3 linked regions of the Arabidopsis thaliana genome follow. The protein of the gene in region 2 interacts with the protein of the main gene of each other region in a pairwise test. Each region holds a gene or a part of one and is shown on either strand. Other genes may lie near its edges. The genes, in order: PIP1;4, AT4G24090 and PIP1A.

The links.
Region 1: the proteins of AT4G24090 (region 2) and PIP1;4 interact in a two-hybrid assay, tested with the Arabidopsis thaliana proteins (one large-scale study listed by BioGRID).
Region 3: the proteins of AT4G24090 (region 2) and PIP1A interact in a two-hybrid assay, tested with the Arabidopsis thaliana proteins (one large-scale study listed by BioGRID).

What each region holds. Positions count from the first base shown.
Region 1 is NC_003075.7:184,744-189,434, forward strand, and holds PIP1;4 (plasma membrane intrinsic protein 1;4), read right to left. Parts: upstream 2,938-4,691; 5' UTR 2,789-2,937; coding exon 2,458-2,788; intron 2,155-2,457; coding exon 1,859-2,154; coding exon of another isoform or gene 1,826-1,858; exon of another isoform or gene 1,731-1,825; coding exon 1,590-1,730; intron 1,496-1,589; coding exon 1,400-1,495; 3' UTR 542-1,399; downstream 1-541. UniProt on the Arabidopsis thaliana protein: Aquaporins facilitate the transport of water and small neutral solutes across cell membranes.
Region 2 is NC_003075.7:12,510,749-12,515,255, reverse strand, and holds AT4G24090 (homer protein), read right to left. Parts: upstream 2,592-4,507; 5' UTR 2,515-2,591; coding exon 2,128-2,514; intron 1,679-2,127; coding exon 1,318-1,678; intron 968-1,317; coding exon 789-967; 3' UTR 599-788; downstream 1-598. Other genes in the region: AT4G24100 (Protein kinase superfamily protein), read right to left, coding at 1-58, 183-205; ALL1 (aldolase like), read right to left, coding at 2,966-3,298, 3,426-3,631, 3,716-3,872.
Region 3 is NC_003074.8:22,731,178-22,735,970, reverse strand, and holds PIP1A (plasma membrane intrinsic protein 1A), read right to left. Parts: upstream 2,729-4,793; 5' UTR 2,315-2,728; coding exon 1,987-2,314; intron 1,723-1,986; coding exon 1,427-1,722; intron 1,189-1,426; coding exon 1,048-1,188; intron 954-1,047; coding exon 858-953; 3' UTR 577-857; downstream 1-576. Other genes in the region: CYSC1 (cysteine synthase C1), read right to left, coding at 1-86; AT3G61420 (BSD domain (BTF2-like transcription factors, Synapse-associated proteins and DOS2-like proteins)), read left to right, coding at 4,211-4,276, 4,375-4,453, 4,541-4,602, 4,689-4,752. UniProt on the Arabidopsis thaliana protein: Water channel required to facilitate the transport of water across cell membrane. Its function is impaired by Hg(2+).

The sequences.
Region 1 (4,691 bases), about 12 Mb from region 2:
TATGACAAAACCCAAAAACGAATTTAATTTATAAAAAATAATTACTATATCTAAATTTTTTATATATGGTATATTCTTTACAATTTTTGTAGATAAAAAATTAAATATGATGATTTAATGCTAATATAAAATGTTTGGGCTAATTTTCTAAAACCTCTCTACCTAATAAACATAAATACATAATTCTCATTTCACTTTTATTTGATTTTATGTACTTATATTATTTGAATTATTATAAATTATATATGGTTAATAAATTTCTTGTTTTTTCTGCATATATTATGATTCAAATTTTTTAAAACACATAATACTGAATCAAAGAAATATATGCACAATCTAAAATATAAACAAATAATAAATCATTTAAAGTTTTTTAACCGATAAAGAAAAATTTGGTTATTTATTGTCAATCGGGTTATAATAGAATGATGCAATAAAAAAAACAAAATTATTTGTAAAAAAAAACAAATAATATCGAAAACAAACAAAATAATAACGGAGAAAAAATATCAAAAACTAACCCATATTACAAACGGTACAGAATCTACTTATATATTTTTGCAACACTTTTATGAAATAAATCCTGGAGTTTGAACTTATTTACAACCCAATGCCATTGGCATTAAATGTTTTAACAAACTTATTATCAAATCTATAAATCGATTTTGTTACTAAAATTTAGGAAACTAAAATAAAAAAAAATCACAAAAATTATTTAAATCATCTATTGTTCAGTACACAACAAGACCTCAATCATATAATGTGTTAAGCAACTTTTCTGTGGCTCTAAGATCCGACCACTGGTGCTAAAACAAGAATCAGAAGCTACAGAAGAAACTTGCATAGCTAGAATATCTCTAGCTAGTACAAATAAAACCGGAAGCTTAAGACTACTGAGCTTCTAGTATGAAACACATCATATTCTGTTTCCAATGTATTGGCCCTTGTGTTTTCAACACTTTCTTGCAAGTACACAATAGTCAAGCTCTTCATTCACCATCTTGTCATAAACAGAGGCCAATCCTTCAACCCCCACATTCACGAAGTCATGATCATCTTCATAATCATGTCTCTCAAAACCAACCCGAGAACTTGATGTTGATACAGAATGAGGGTTGACTATGTTTATTTTATATTCGTCGAACAAACTATTCAAAACATCAATAACCGGAGCACTAATCACCTTAGACTTCAGAGACCCTTTGCCATAAAGCATCTGAGACGAGTATAGGAAGAAAAAAGAAACACATAGTTTTTACATAGACAAAAGCTGATTAGAAATCCCAAATACATATTCTTGAAAGGCTCATTACATTGCAAAACACAAGCTACATTAGATAGATAAGCAAAGAAACTACTAAAGAACAAATTCTGGACCGTGGAATCTTTCTGTGTGTCTCTAACTCTTGCTCTTGAAAGGAATCGCTCTGATGACAATCTGGTGATATAGTGCTGCTAGAGCTGCTCCAATGAATGGTCCAACCCAGAAAATCCACTGCAACAACCACCACAATTTTACAAATTCAAATATATTAGAAAACATCATAATACGTTTTGAGTTGTCCTTTTCATTAGAGTTGTTTACTCACATGGTCATCCCAAGAGTGGTCCTTGTTGTAGATAATTGCGGCTCCAAGACTTCTAGCTGGGTTGATTCCGGTCCCGGTGATCGGTATTGTTGCCAAGTGTACCAAGAACACTGCAAATCCGATTGGGAGCGGCGCCAAAATCTACAATAGAGAGTGACCAATTATTAGTCATAAACTGTTAAACCAATAAAACCGGGGAAATTCGATCGGTTAGTAGTCTAATTAAAGCAATAAAATCAGCAAACCGGAACTAAGAGAGGGGTCCATACCGGGACGTGTGAGTCACGGGCGCTTCTCTTGGCGTCGGTGGCGGAGAAGACAGTGTAGACGAGAACGAATGTTCCGATGATTTCAGCACCAAGGCCAGAACCTTTGGTGTAGCCATGAGCAACGGTGTTAGCACCACCACCGAGAGTCTGGTACGGCGTTGGCTGGAAACCTTTGACGACTCCGGCACCACAGATGGCTCCAAGACATTGCATAATCATGTAGAACACTGCTCTGGTCAGAGATAACTTCCGAGCCAAGAACAGACCGAATGTTACAGCAGGGTTGATGTGTCCACCTAAAAACACACAAACACAAACACATGTTACACAAAGATGTGAGCTTTATCTGAGAAATCAACAGTAAAATTGGTGTAACATACAGATCTAGATAAGCCCAAGCATCAAAAGAACCCAAAGTTTCCTGCTTTATAACTGTTTTTGGTTCCTTTACATTTTCTAGGTCAAACAGAGCATGAACAAAAACAGAGGACTCACATAATGGTTTTCAGAAACAAAACAGAGCAAATAAAGCAGAACCAAAACAGAGAACCCACCAAAACAGAGATTACAGAAAAATGGGAAAATCGAGAGAAGGTTACCTGAAATTCCAGCAGTACAGTAGACAAGAGCAAAGATCATGCCACCAAAAGCCCAAGCGATACCTTGGATTCCAACAGAAGCACACATGTTTGGTGCTCTCTTAACTCCCATTACAGTCAAAACAGTGATGTAGAGAAACAAGAAAGTAGCGATAAACTCAGCTATTCCGGCTCTGTAGAAAGACCATGAGCTGAGCTCGCCGGGCTCGAACAGTGGCGCAGGAGGTGGCTCTTTGTAGTCCTTGTCGGTGGACTGAGCCGATGTACCGATGGGTTGCCTCTCCGGGAACTTGTTAGCTCCCACTCGTACATCTTCTTCTTTGCCTTCCATTTCTCTCCCTCTCCCTCTTTTGTTCTTCTCTCTCCAGAAAGGTTAAAGTTGTGAGCTTTTTCTTTCTCGTGTGTAGCTACCAAGTGTGTGGTCGAGACTTCATTTATAGAGAACAACGATAGAATATAATAAAATTGCCTAACGTTTCCAAACATTTATTTTTAGTTATTGCTAAGAAAATAAAATAGTATAACGTATAGTTTTTTCTTTATTTCAAATTTCAACTAGAATAACCAATAGTTAACACCTAATTTCAAGGCTTAGGCAAATAAACTGAGAGTCAAATAAACTGAACCAAATGTACTAAACCTAAATGAAAAAAAAAAACAGAACCGAATTGAATCAACAATTTAAAAATTGTTGAATAGATATTAAATTTTATAATCAAAATAACCAAAAATGAATTAGTACCTAACTAAAATATTTTAGATGATCTAAAATATCCAAAATATAATTTTATTTTCAAAAATATTAGTTATTTCTATACTTAGTAATTAAAAATATTTAAAAATATATATTAAATAGTAACAATATTCAAAAAATATCAAAAAATAATTGAAATATTTAAAAATATTAAAAGCAAAATAATCGAATGGATATTAAATTTCAAAAAAAAAAAAAAAAACGAACCAAAATTTCAAAATAGTCGAATGAATACTAAACTTTAAAACCAAAAAACCGAATAACCAAATAGATACGAATCAAAACCAAATAGATAACCAAACTAAGAGTTTAGAACTAATAATTTCAATGATCATTTGTGAATGGTCTTAAACTTTACTAGTCACGAAATTCTTTTTTCTCTTTTTATGTTGACAGATCAAACTAGTCTAGTTACGTTTTTCTCAACTAGTTATTATTCATGATGGTGAATGTTGAATAATTATGTTAATGTTGAATAGTTTGGTAATTTGTACTAGGGTTACTATTAAATAAAGATAATGATGGAGGAGACTAGAGAGGGTTGTTCTGGAACGTACCGATGTGCTCTCGTATAAAGACAAAAAACCTGACCCTTTTTTTTTCTTTTCCTCTTCCCACAGGGTCCACTTTCTGGACGGTAAACAAAAATCGATAAAATTGTAAGAGCCCAATAAAGCCCAATAGTAAAATAGTAAAAAAAAAACTGACTATTCAACGAAACAATTATCTGACCGTTGGAGAAAAAATTGACAGCTTTATGTAAAGTCATTTTCGTTGGGACTGACTATATAGTATAATGCCGTGCTTCATAAAAATCATTTTTAACTTTTAATTATTCAACCATGCGATATTCCAGAAAATGTAATGAAAAAAGTTGAGGGCAAACAAAAGTTATAAAAATCTGTTTTACGTTGACAAAAAAACAGTGTTATGTACTGATGAAAGATACATTCTATCAACCAGCCACTTGTTATTTTTTTTTGTTTTTTGCTTAGTTAGCTTTTTTCTGTGTTGCTTGAAATTGACAAGCCACGCATTACAAAATCAGGTCTCTGATTTTTCTTATATACAAATATTTATAATTTGTTGTGGACCGAATAAAAAAGGCTAGCATTGAATGCAAGTAAATAATTTTGTTTTTGAATATAGTGACTATATTTGGGTGCTGACATGTAAAACTGTTTGAACAGCTCAGAGATGAGTATTGCTTCTCTGTGATCTCACATGCTTCGTTGCCAACAAACACTAAAATTCTCAAATGTAAATGTTTCCAATTCGATATTATAATGTTTAGTACCATAGTTACAGACTTACAGTATTGTGCAAAAGACATAATTTAGGAAAAGTTCTTACGTATTCATTTTGGAAACGTAACCACAATGCACAGTCACATACCGTCCAGCCAACATAAGTTTGACACGTGGAAGAACCCGTTGAACATGTGTATTGTTTTATTGGGCCGGTCCCGACCAAAGCCGCA
Region 2 (4,507 bases):
ACGACCACTACTACCTCCTCCTCCTCCCACCATCTTCTTCCGTCGCTTTAAAACCGCCCTGAATACCACCAAAAATCAGAAACCAGTAATTTCGCCTTCAGATACAACAAATCAAATGAATTTAACACAGAAGAAGAAGAAACAAAATCTGGAGCTGAGAGAGATAGAGACTAGTAGTTTACTCGAGAACAAGTCGAAACCCCATTGAAATTGGATACTAATTTTTTAATTTTTTGTATAGAAAAATAATAATTCAGCTGTTTTTCACTTTCTGCTTGCTATATTTTTCTGATCAGTTGACCTCCACGACAAAACGCGATTTGAGAGCGATCGAAAGACAAAAGAACTGTTTTGTGCTGACGTGGTATATCTGTAAGCTTCTAAGATTATTACACGTGGCTTTACTATAAATAATGAATGGCTAGGAATGGCCTTGACCCCATCTACCTCTTTGGTTAAGTTCACAAGTCACTAATCACTTCATCACTTGACAAAGATAAATATTCCTCATAACTTTTTATACAAAGTTAAAAGAAAGAATTATCCCAACTGATTCATTTTTTATAGCAAAATTTGAATTATGTATGGATTCATCATTCTAAATTCAATATTCCTTATGATCATGCTTTTAAAATCAGGTGTAACTTTTTTTGTGACAAGTTAAAGATCATAAAAATCTAGGATGAAACATTTACATTTTAGACCAAAATTAATAATATAAAAAAAAACAAATAAAGTCTTCAAAAGAAGATTTTGTTCATTTCTACATTTTTAATTTGCTCTTCAATCTAGTCAGAGCTAGGAAATGGTCTTAAGAGCTTCATCTTGAAACAGAAGTCCAAACCTATGGACGCAAACGCAAATATCAAGACGCTCTGAGACACCAAAACGGCGCCGTCTATCCCATGTGAAAACAAGCTTTCCCAGCTCAGCTCCAATGGCGGTCCTCTGCTCAACATACCAAGTCCTATATAACACATTAAAAAAAATCGAATCTATAATAAATCTGTTTTTAAAAAAAGACAGATCCAAATAATACAGGTCAGAGACTAATAATCAACTCATCAATTATTTAGAATAAATCAAATCGTTGATTAGTAATCTATTACTGGCAGATTATAATTTAAAAACAACCAAAGGGCGGGACAACGATGGGAACTTTGCCAGCTCATACTTCCACACAATATATAACATGACAAAGACAAAGAAAGTCTTTTTCTTTTACCATTTCTGTTAAGCTTATTCAATCACAAAACGCAATTGCTTTTGAACAATTCAAAGAAGTTAGATAGAAACAGTAATCAAATGTGTTGTTACCTTTAACAAACCCAAAAGCTGCAACGGCTCCGGATTTGAGATGATTATCATCCAAGTCTCTTCTGACTGCATACCTGAATGTGACTCCAAACAATGCACAGCTTGCAAACGCTATTCCCAGGGGCAGAACAAGCTGCTCCATGCTTGCGACTTGAGAAAGAGCAAATGGGAGTTCCGCAATGGTCCCAACCGCAGCTGCGATCACTGCCGCTTTTGCAGATTCTAACCTCTCCTTGTCTTTATCAATCGAATAACCTTTCTCCGAACTTCCAATTGTCGAGTTATCTGCTAATGACAAGGAGCGTTCTGCTTCCTCAACCATTGATCTTGCTGCGTCAATCTCCTGCTGGCATTCTGCAATCTTGAATCAGATATTGAATAAGATTAACATGCTCTGTCTACAAATACAAAACCAAACTAGAGACTTTGTTCCAAAACACGAGAAAACACAAAATGCAACCAAACTCATGATTTAGTTAGTAACCTTATCTAATGAAGTACCTTCACACAAACTAAGAGAAACCCCATTTCCAGGTTTCAAGCACAAAAGCAACACCATTGATATTGATTGATACTTTGAATTACCTATCCTATCCTAAGCATACAATGCACAACTTGAGCTTATCCTGGCATATAAATATATACTGCACAAATTCACTAGTCCATTGTAATATAAACCAATCATTCTCAATGCAACCTTAATCTATACTCTATAGTAGAACCTCCCAAAAACCTCAAATTCCAAAGAGCAAAAGAATCAAATGTTCAATCATTTTCATATCTAACACCATTTCGAGAACAAGCTCTCACCTCTGCGGCTCTTGATTCGAGCTGATTAATATAATCCTGTAGCAATTTCGCCTCAATTTCTTGTCTCTCTATATCTTCGAGCTCTCTCTTCGCAATCTCCACTCTCAACGAAGCTTTTTCCAGACCATCAAGCAAACCTTTGTTCTCTTCTCTGCTCAATAGCTCCTCCACTTGATTTCCCACAATACCGGACAGAGAATTCTTCAAATCTCCGCCGTCACTCGAAATTGCTACATTATCTTCCGACGAACTTCTAATTCTCCAGTTTCGAGTTCTACGATACTGAGAACTCGAGGCAGTCAATTGCTTGGGATTCAAAAGATTAATTTCAGGTAAAGTCACTGAATTTGGTTTCCATGGAAGCGATTGCAGAGATAAAGATTGCATTTTGATAAAGAAAAAGAAAATCTTCGAGTTCTTATCTGGTTGCGAAGAGTGGCCACTAAAACGGAATGAAAAACGACACGATTTTTAAAATGCAACGATGCATCAGCATTAGCCTTTACTGGTACTGAAATCCACGAAACGACATGCATTCTAATATTTCGAAACGGCATGCATTTCAGTTCTCCAAAGAAATCAAAGCAAACTATTTGAGAAGTGTTTGACCCGCATAATCACTTTTTCTTTAGTAACACCAGAGCTAAACACTGTTAATGCGGCTTTAAATTTTCTTTTGGATAATGCGAATCTTAACAAGACTTGCTCAAAAGTCAAAACTAACAAAGTAGTAGACATAACTAACAAAGTAGAAGATAATCATGGGGTACATAAACTCATCACTTATTACAAAGCACTCTAATTCCCGTTTTATTCAGACTCTAATCTAATTCCGACACTACGCTTTAAAAGCGTTGACCTCATCAACCACAGCCTTCTTGTACAGCGACACATCGGTTGACCCGAGCACCACGTGATACCCACGTGCCTTGAGATCACCGGTTTTGTCCTGAGCCGTGGCCATCCCTGCCAAGTAAGCTCCACCATTCGCCGGATCAGAGGCCAACACCGCCGTCTCAGCCACCCTCATGACCGACTTCACCTTCGGGTTTCCTGGATCGTTAAGTAACCCCAAACTCGCACTCAGATCTCTCGGCCCCATCATCACACAATCCATCCCATCAACGGCTATGATCTCCTTCACATTTTTCATACCTTCCTCTGATTCAATCTGCACAAAATATATCAATTGCATAAAAATTCTAACTTCCATTTTTTTCACAAGTAGGCATTTTAGAATTCAATTTAACAATTTCGTCCAATAAAATTGAAAATCAAAGGGGATTTGAGGATCGAACCTGGCACATAATGAAGAGCTTATCAGCGTAATTACCCAAATACCCTTCGTTAAATCCGAAGCTGGAGTCTCTCACAACGGAGTAAGCACAGCCGCGAACACCGTCAGGACGATACAGGCAAAACGAGACCGCCTCGGATGCAGATCTTCCGGTTTCGACCATTGGGAACATAATGCCGTCGGGTCCGAGATCTAACGCTTTCTTAGCTCAAGCCTGACTAATGTCGGGTACACGGAGGACAGTGGAGCAACCAGCGGCTTCGATTGCTCGAATGCAGTGAAGCGCTTCACGAATCCCGCCGGCACCGTGCTCAAGGTAGACGACAATGAAGTCAAATCCAGCTCTTGCAGCGATCTCTGCAAGCTCCGGAGAAAAGGAGAGAAGAAAGTGGCCGAGAAGCTTTTCTCCATCTTGGAGACGTGATTTCAGAGATTTTTTGGTCGCCATTGTGACTGAGAGAAGTGGAGGAGGGTGATGAAGAAGGAGAAGAAGAAGAAGCGTTAATAGAGAAGAAGAAGAAGAAGATTCATTCCTTTCATTGCATGCGATTTATTTCCTTTTTGTTGTTGTCAACATTATTCTCTTTCCAATTAATTTGAGAATTTAATTGGGTTGGTAAAACCATATTCTAATTTTCGGTGATCTGTTATTAATCCAAAGATATTTTTCTTAATATCATTTCTTATTTAAGACGAAATTTTAGACGTTTGAATTTTTGATTAAAACAAACAAAAATGAGTTATTACGTGGAGTTTAAAAGATATAAAGTTTGTACTTTATTCGAGTAGTACTTTTGGATTTATGTTATGTACATAAACTTTTTGTTTTCTCACACGCTTCCAAACAAAATAATGCACTTTTAACATTGGTCTGAATCTGACATGTGCATACAATGTGAGTGACGATTTAACATAAACAATAACAAGAACAAATGTGAGTGAAAGTAATCAGTATGATTAACAAATTTAATATGACAACACCCAATCTCTAACTTAAGCTCCAGAATTACAAGAGAAGAGAATTAAGTTGGTCTTGCATTTTGTTTGGTTTCTCTAATTATTTCCAACTCGATGAAAAGGTTA
Region 3 (4,793 bases), on a different chromosome or scaffold from region 2:
CCAACGGTGGAGAAGAGTTTCCTCACGGTGTGGCTGAAACAGGGGATCGTCTCTCTCCTCAGTAACCTCCTTGAAACAGAGGCCATTGTTGTCGACTAAAACGGAGTAACCGAAGTTTGAAGAGACAAGAGAGTGAAGAAAAGTTTAGAGGAGGAGTGATTGGTGAGGTGGAGAAGAAAGCAATCATATAAATGGATGAGAAAACGAGACAAATACATTGCATCATCATCCATTACCATTGGTGTTAAGAATATAATAATACAAGTTGCTTGTTGGAACTATGTGAGAAAAGTAATTGTGGATTTGTGGTAAGTGAAGTGTTCTTGTCAGAGTTTTATTCGTACTCGTGGAATGATCAAACTTACAGTCAACTTCTTACACCTGTTTCTAGTAAATTTTTAACTTCTTTTCTTATACAGTTTACTTTTTTCTATCGGTCAAGGAATCTTCGTGCTTTGTTGAAAAGTATTTGACAAATGGAACCATTTTTCTGATGGTTTTTGGTGGCTGTGTCTCAATTCCATTAGGATTTAGGCGAGGTTGGTGACACTGACACGTTTAAAATACCATTACAATACCTAACCGGTTAAGCGGTGATAGACCATCTTAATTTGGGTTTATATAGGTTCTCGTTTACCAATATCCATGTTAAACATCTTTGATCTGTAATAAACATGTTAAACATCATAATTTGCAAATAATTCTCCTTTGGAACTTCTTCCTTGTTTACAAATATTGCATTAAGAGGGCACATAGATAAACACATTGCACACATACATGTAGTAGATCAACAATAGAACTATAGAAGCAACTAAGGACAAGGCCAGAAACCAGAGGACTTGATGTCTTGTTTTTACTTAGCTTCTGGACTTGAAGGGGATGGCTCTGATGACAACCACATGGTAAAGAGCAGCAAGTGCAGCTCCAATGAAGGGGCCAACCCAAAACACCCACTGGAATGACGACAAAAAAAAACGAAATTGTCAGGGAAAAATGCTCGAAACCGAGTTTGGAATGCGATTTGGTATATAGTGTGTGGAAACTCACGTGGTCATCCCAGGAATGGTCTTTGTTGTAGATGATTGCAGCTCCAAGGCTTCTAGCTGGGTTGATGCCTGTGCCAGTGATTGGGATGGTTGCCAAGTGAACCAAGAAAACCGCAAACCCGATTGGGAGTGGTGCAAGAATCTGCACAATTATTACAAAACTCAAGCCGGTAAGCAACAAATCCAATATTGAGAATCAGTCTTTAGTGCACACTAATGGCAGCTTCAAGTTCACTCATTTCAATTGTTTCTAGCAATTGTTACATGGACTGGTTACTTACGGGGACATGAGAGTCACACTAAAGGCAGCTTAAAAGTTCACTCATTTCAATTGTTTCAAGAAGCTATTAGCAGATATGTTACAAGGAGTGGTAACTTACAGGGACATGAGAGTCACGAGCATTTCTCTTGGCGTCAGTTGCTGAGAAGACTGTGTATACAAGAACGAATGTGCCAATGATCTCAGCTCCAAGACCACTTCCCTTGGTGTAACCATGAGCCACAGTGTTAGCTCCTCCTCCTAGAGCCTGGTATTGCTTAGGCTGGAACCCTTTAACCACTCCAGCACCACAGATAGCTCCCAAGCACTGCATCACTATGTAGTACAGAGCTCTAGTAAGCGACAGCTTCCGGGCTAAGAACAGACCAAAAGTAACCGCTGGGTTGATGTGTCCACCTGAGAGTTACATATAAAAAAAATACATTCCAAGATTAGGCTAAAGGACACAATTCATATTAGAAAACTGCAAATTCCACCAAGATTGTAGCTTTCTGAGATTTCTTGAATCAGATACAAATGGAACAAGTTCAGGCTAAGAAGCTATAAATCTAAACACAATTTTCTCAAGATTATAGCTTTATCGTCTTCTTTCACAACCCAAACACTCGGAAACCTAATTACAGTAAAAAGGCGTATACTTGGAGAAGTAGAGTGACTTACCGGAGATACCAGCGGTACAGTAGACTAAGGCAAATATCATACCACCGAAAGCCCAAGCGATTCCTTGGATTCCGACGGAAGCACACATGTTCGGTGACCTTTTCACTCCCATAACAGTCAAGACAGTGATGTAGAGAAAGAGAAAAGTAGCGATGAACTCAGCGATCCCAGCTCTCCAAAAAGACCATGAAGAAAGCTCACCAGGTTCGAAAAACGGAGCTGGTGGTGGTTCCTTGTAGTCCTTGTCACTCTGAGCTGATGTTCCGATTGGTTGTCTCTCCGGGAACTTGTTAGCTCCAACTCTAACGTCTTCTTCCTTGCCTTCCATATCTTCGATCTCTGTAGAGAGAAATTGTAAAGCTCTGTTTTTTTTCTTCTTCTTCTTCTCTGAGTGTGGGATTTGAGAAAGTAGAGTGGTTAATTATATAGTTGGAAGATGTAATGCAAAGAAAGTTGAGAAATAAAAAATAAAGACGATGATGACAAATTGACAATAACATAAAATTTTGTTAATGTTATCTTCGTAGTAATCATACTTACTAAATAAATCTAATTATTGGATTGGGTCAGTGATAATTTAACCGTTTGGACTTTGGACAGAGTTTTGAATGCTCCATTCCAGCTATTTTTGTAGTTTTATCAGTAATGTTTTCTAATCAAAAATAGATCAATGTCTGTTTTTAATAATCCCTCATGATTGTCACTAATTTGGTTAGTTACTAACTGTTACGAACAAAACATGATCCTCCAGTTGAGATGATCTGGCGTTTGCCAGCCAGGATAAGAAGTTAAGAACATCTGTACCATAAGCACCATGCACATTCATTATGTACCATGACTATGACATTCTCCATAATGATTAATGAGTGTACCTACAGAGTTGGGAAATTAAGAGATAGTACCAATAATTCTGTTTTTTCTCTCTTCATGATCGTCTAAACTAACTTTTTTTATTTATGATGATTGATAATCGTTATCGAACTAGTGAATAAATTTTTTCTATCATCAAAGTTACAAAGCACTGGTTTGTGCCAAGATTACAAATTATTTGTTCCTACCACAAAACGTAAGTAGTGTACTAATTGCCAAATAGAAAAGACAATGTTAAAGAAAACAAAAACATGCTTAGTGGTTGCTATATTGTTCTGGAATGGGCCCTATGGCCCTACGCTCTTGTAGCATCCAAGGGCCATCTTGATTACCACCTAGTATTTTCCAACTCCTTATCAATCATTTTGACACTGTAATTAAGTAATTAATGATAAAAAAGGCTCATGTGAGATACTTTCTCAAACTAAAAATCCACATTTACACGATTTGAGGACCTTCAATCTTTAAATTATTATTTTTATATGTATATTTAAGCTGCAAAATAGAAACACTTAAAACCAAAATGTTGAAACATCAGCTAAAATCACTAGCCACTAAAAAAAAAGACCGACCCATTAAGCCTCATGACATGATAAAAGAATGTGTGAAGTGTGATTTTGGAATTTTTATGTTGGAGACTGATTATTTAATAGCCGTCCAATGCATCGACGATAAGATACGTGGAGTCATACCACCTAATGCCGGCGCCTTACATATCCAAAACCGACCATTTATCTTATGACATATGTACTCGATCAATTTATTAATTTTATTGTGGCTGCTATTCATGATTGCATTTGCCCCACCTAGCCACCCCCATTTGCGTCACGGCTCCATAAAAAAAAAAAATATTCATTGACCAAACACAAAAAAACAAGCGAAAATTACCAATGTCCTCCTAACATGAAATTAATAAGACAAATGTTATCGTCTGCCTATAATAAACTAAAAAAAAACAATAAAAAAAAGTTGCGACTTTTAGCTCGAGACAATAAATGGGCCATACATATACGGGCTTAAGCTAACAACACTACTATTGATCGCAGGCCCGGTTAAACAAGGCTCGTACACGTGGCTCTTGAGACTCATCAACTTCGGGTGTGAACTGTTGAACCATCTCAAGACATGAGCTATCACGGCTCGTACACGTGGTTCTAACCACCTCATTATCTCTCGAACTTAAAATTAACAAAATTCCCAAATTATTTAGCTATTTTTGTCTGATCTGCCGACGCTAGCCGTTCTCCTCCGCCAGATTCAAATATTTCCTCCGCCGTCGACACTCCTTACCTCCTCCGGCTCACAAACTTAATCCACCAATTTTACCATGCTTTAGAACCTTGGGCATATATCAATGGAGAAGCGAGTCAAATACAAGAGCTTTGTGAAGGATCCAGGAACTCTTGGATCCCTCGAATTAGTAAGAATACTTTAACTCTTTGCCACTATATGATTTCTATTTTTGTTTCCTTACTCAATGGTTTTTTTCTCAAAGGATCTTCCAATTTTTGTTCTCAGAGTGAAGTGATGCTGCTCTTTGTCCCAAATGATCCTAAATCAGATTTGAAGCTTAAAGTTCAGACTCACAACATCAAAAGTAAGTGTTTGATTATCCATATTGTTCATTCAGATTTATCATGAATAATTTCTCTAAATGATTATTGTGCCATGTTAAATTTCTCAGGTCAGAAATATACCAAAGAAGGATCAAATAAACCTCCTTGGCTCAATCTGACCAGCAAGCAGGTTGTTTTTCCTCGGCCCTTTTTGCTCAAGGCTAAAAAATATTGATAGGTGTATCACTGAAGTTTCCTCGTCTTTGATTATTACAGGGAAGGAGTCATATCTTTGAGTTTGAAAATTATCCTGACATGCATGCTTGTCGTGATTTCATCAGTAAGCTCCACGTGCCATGATTTGGTGTTATTGATTCATTT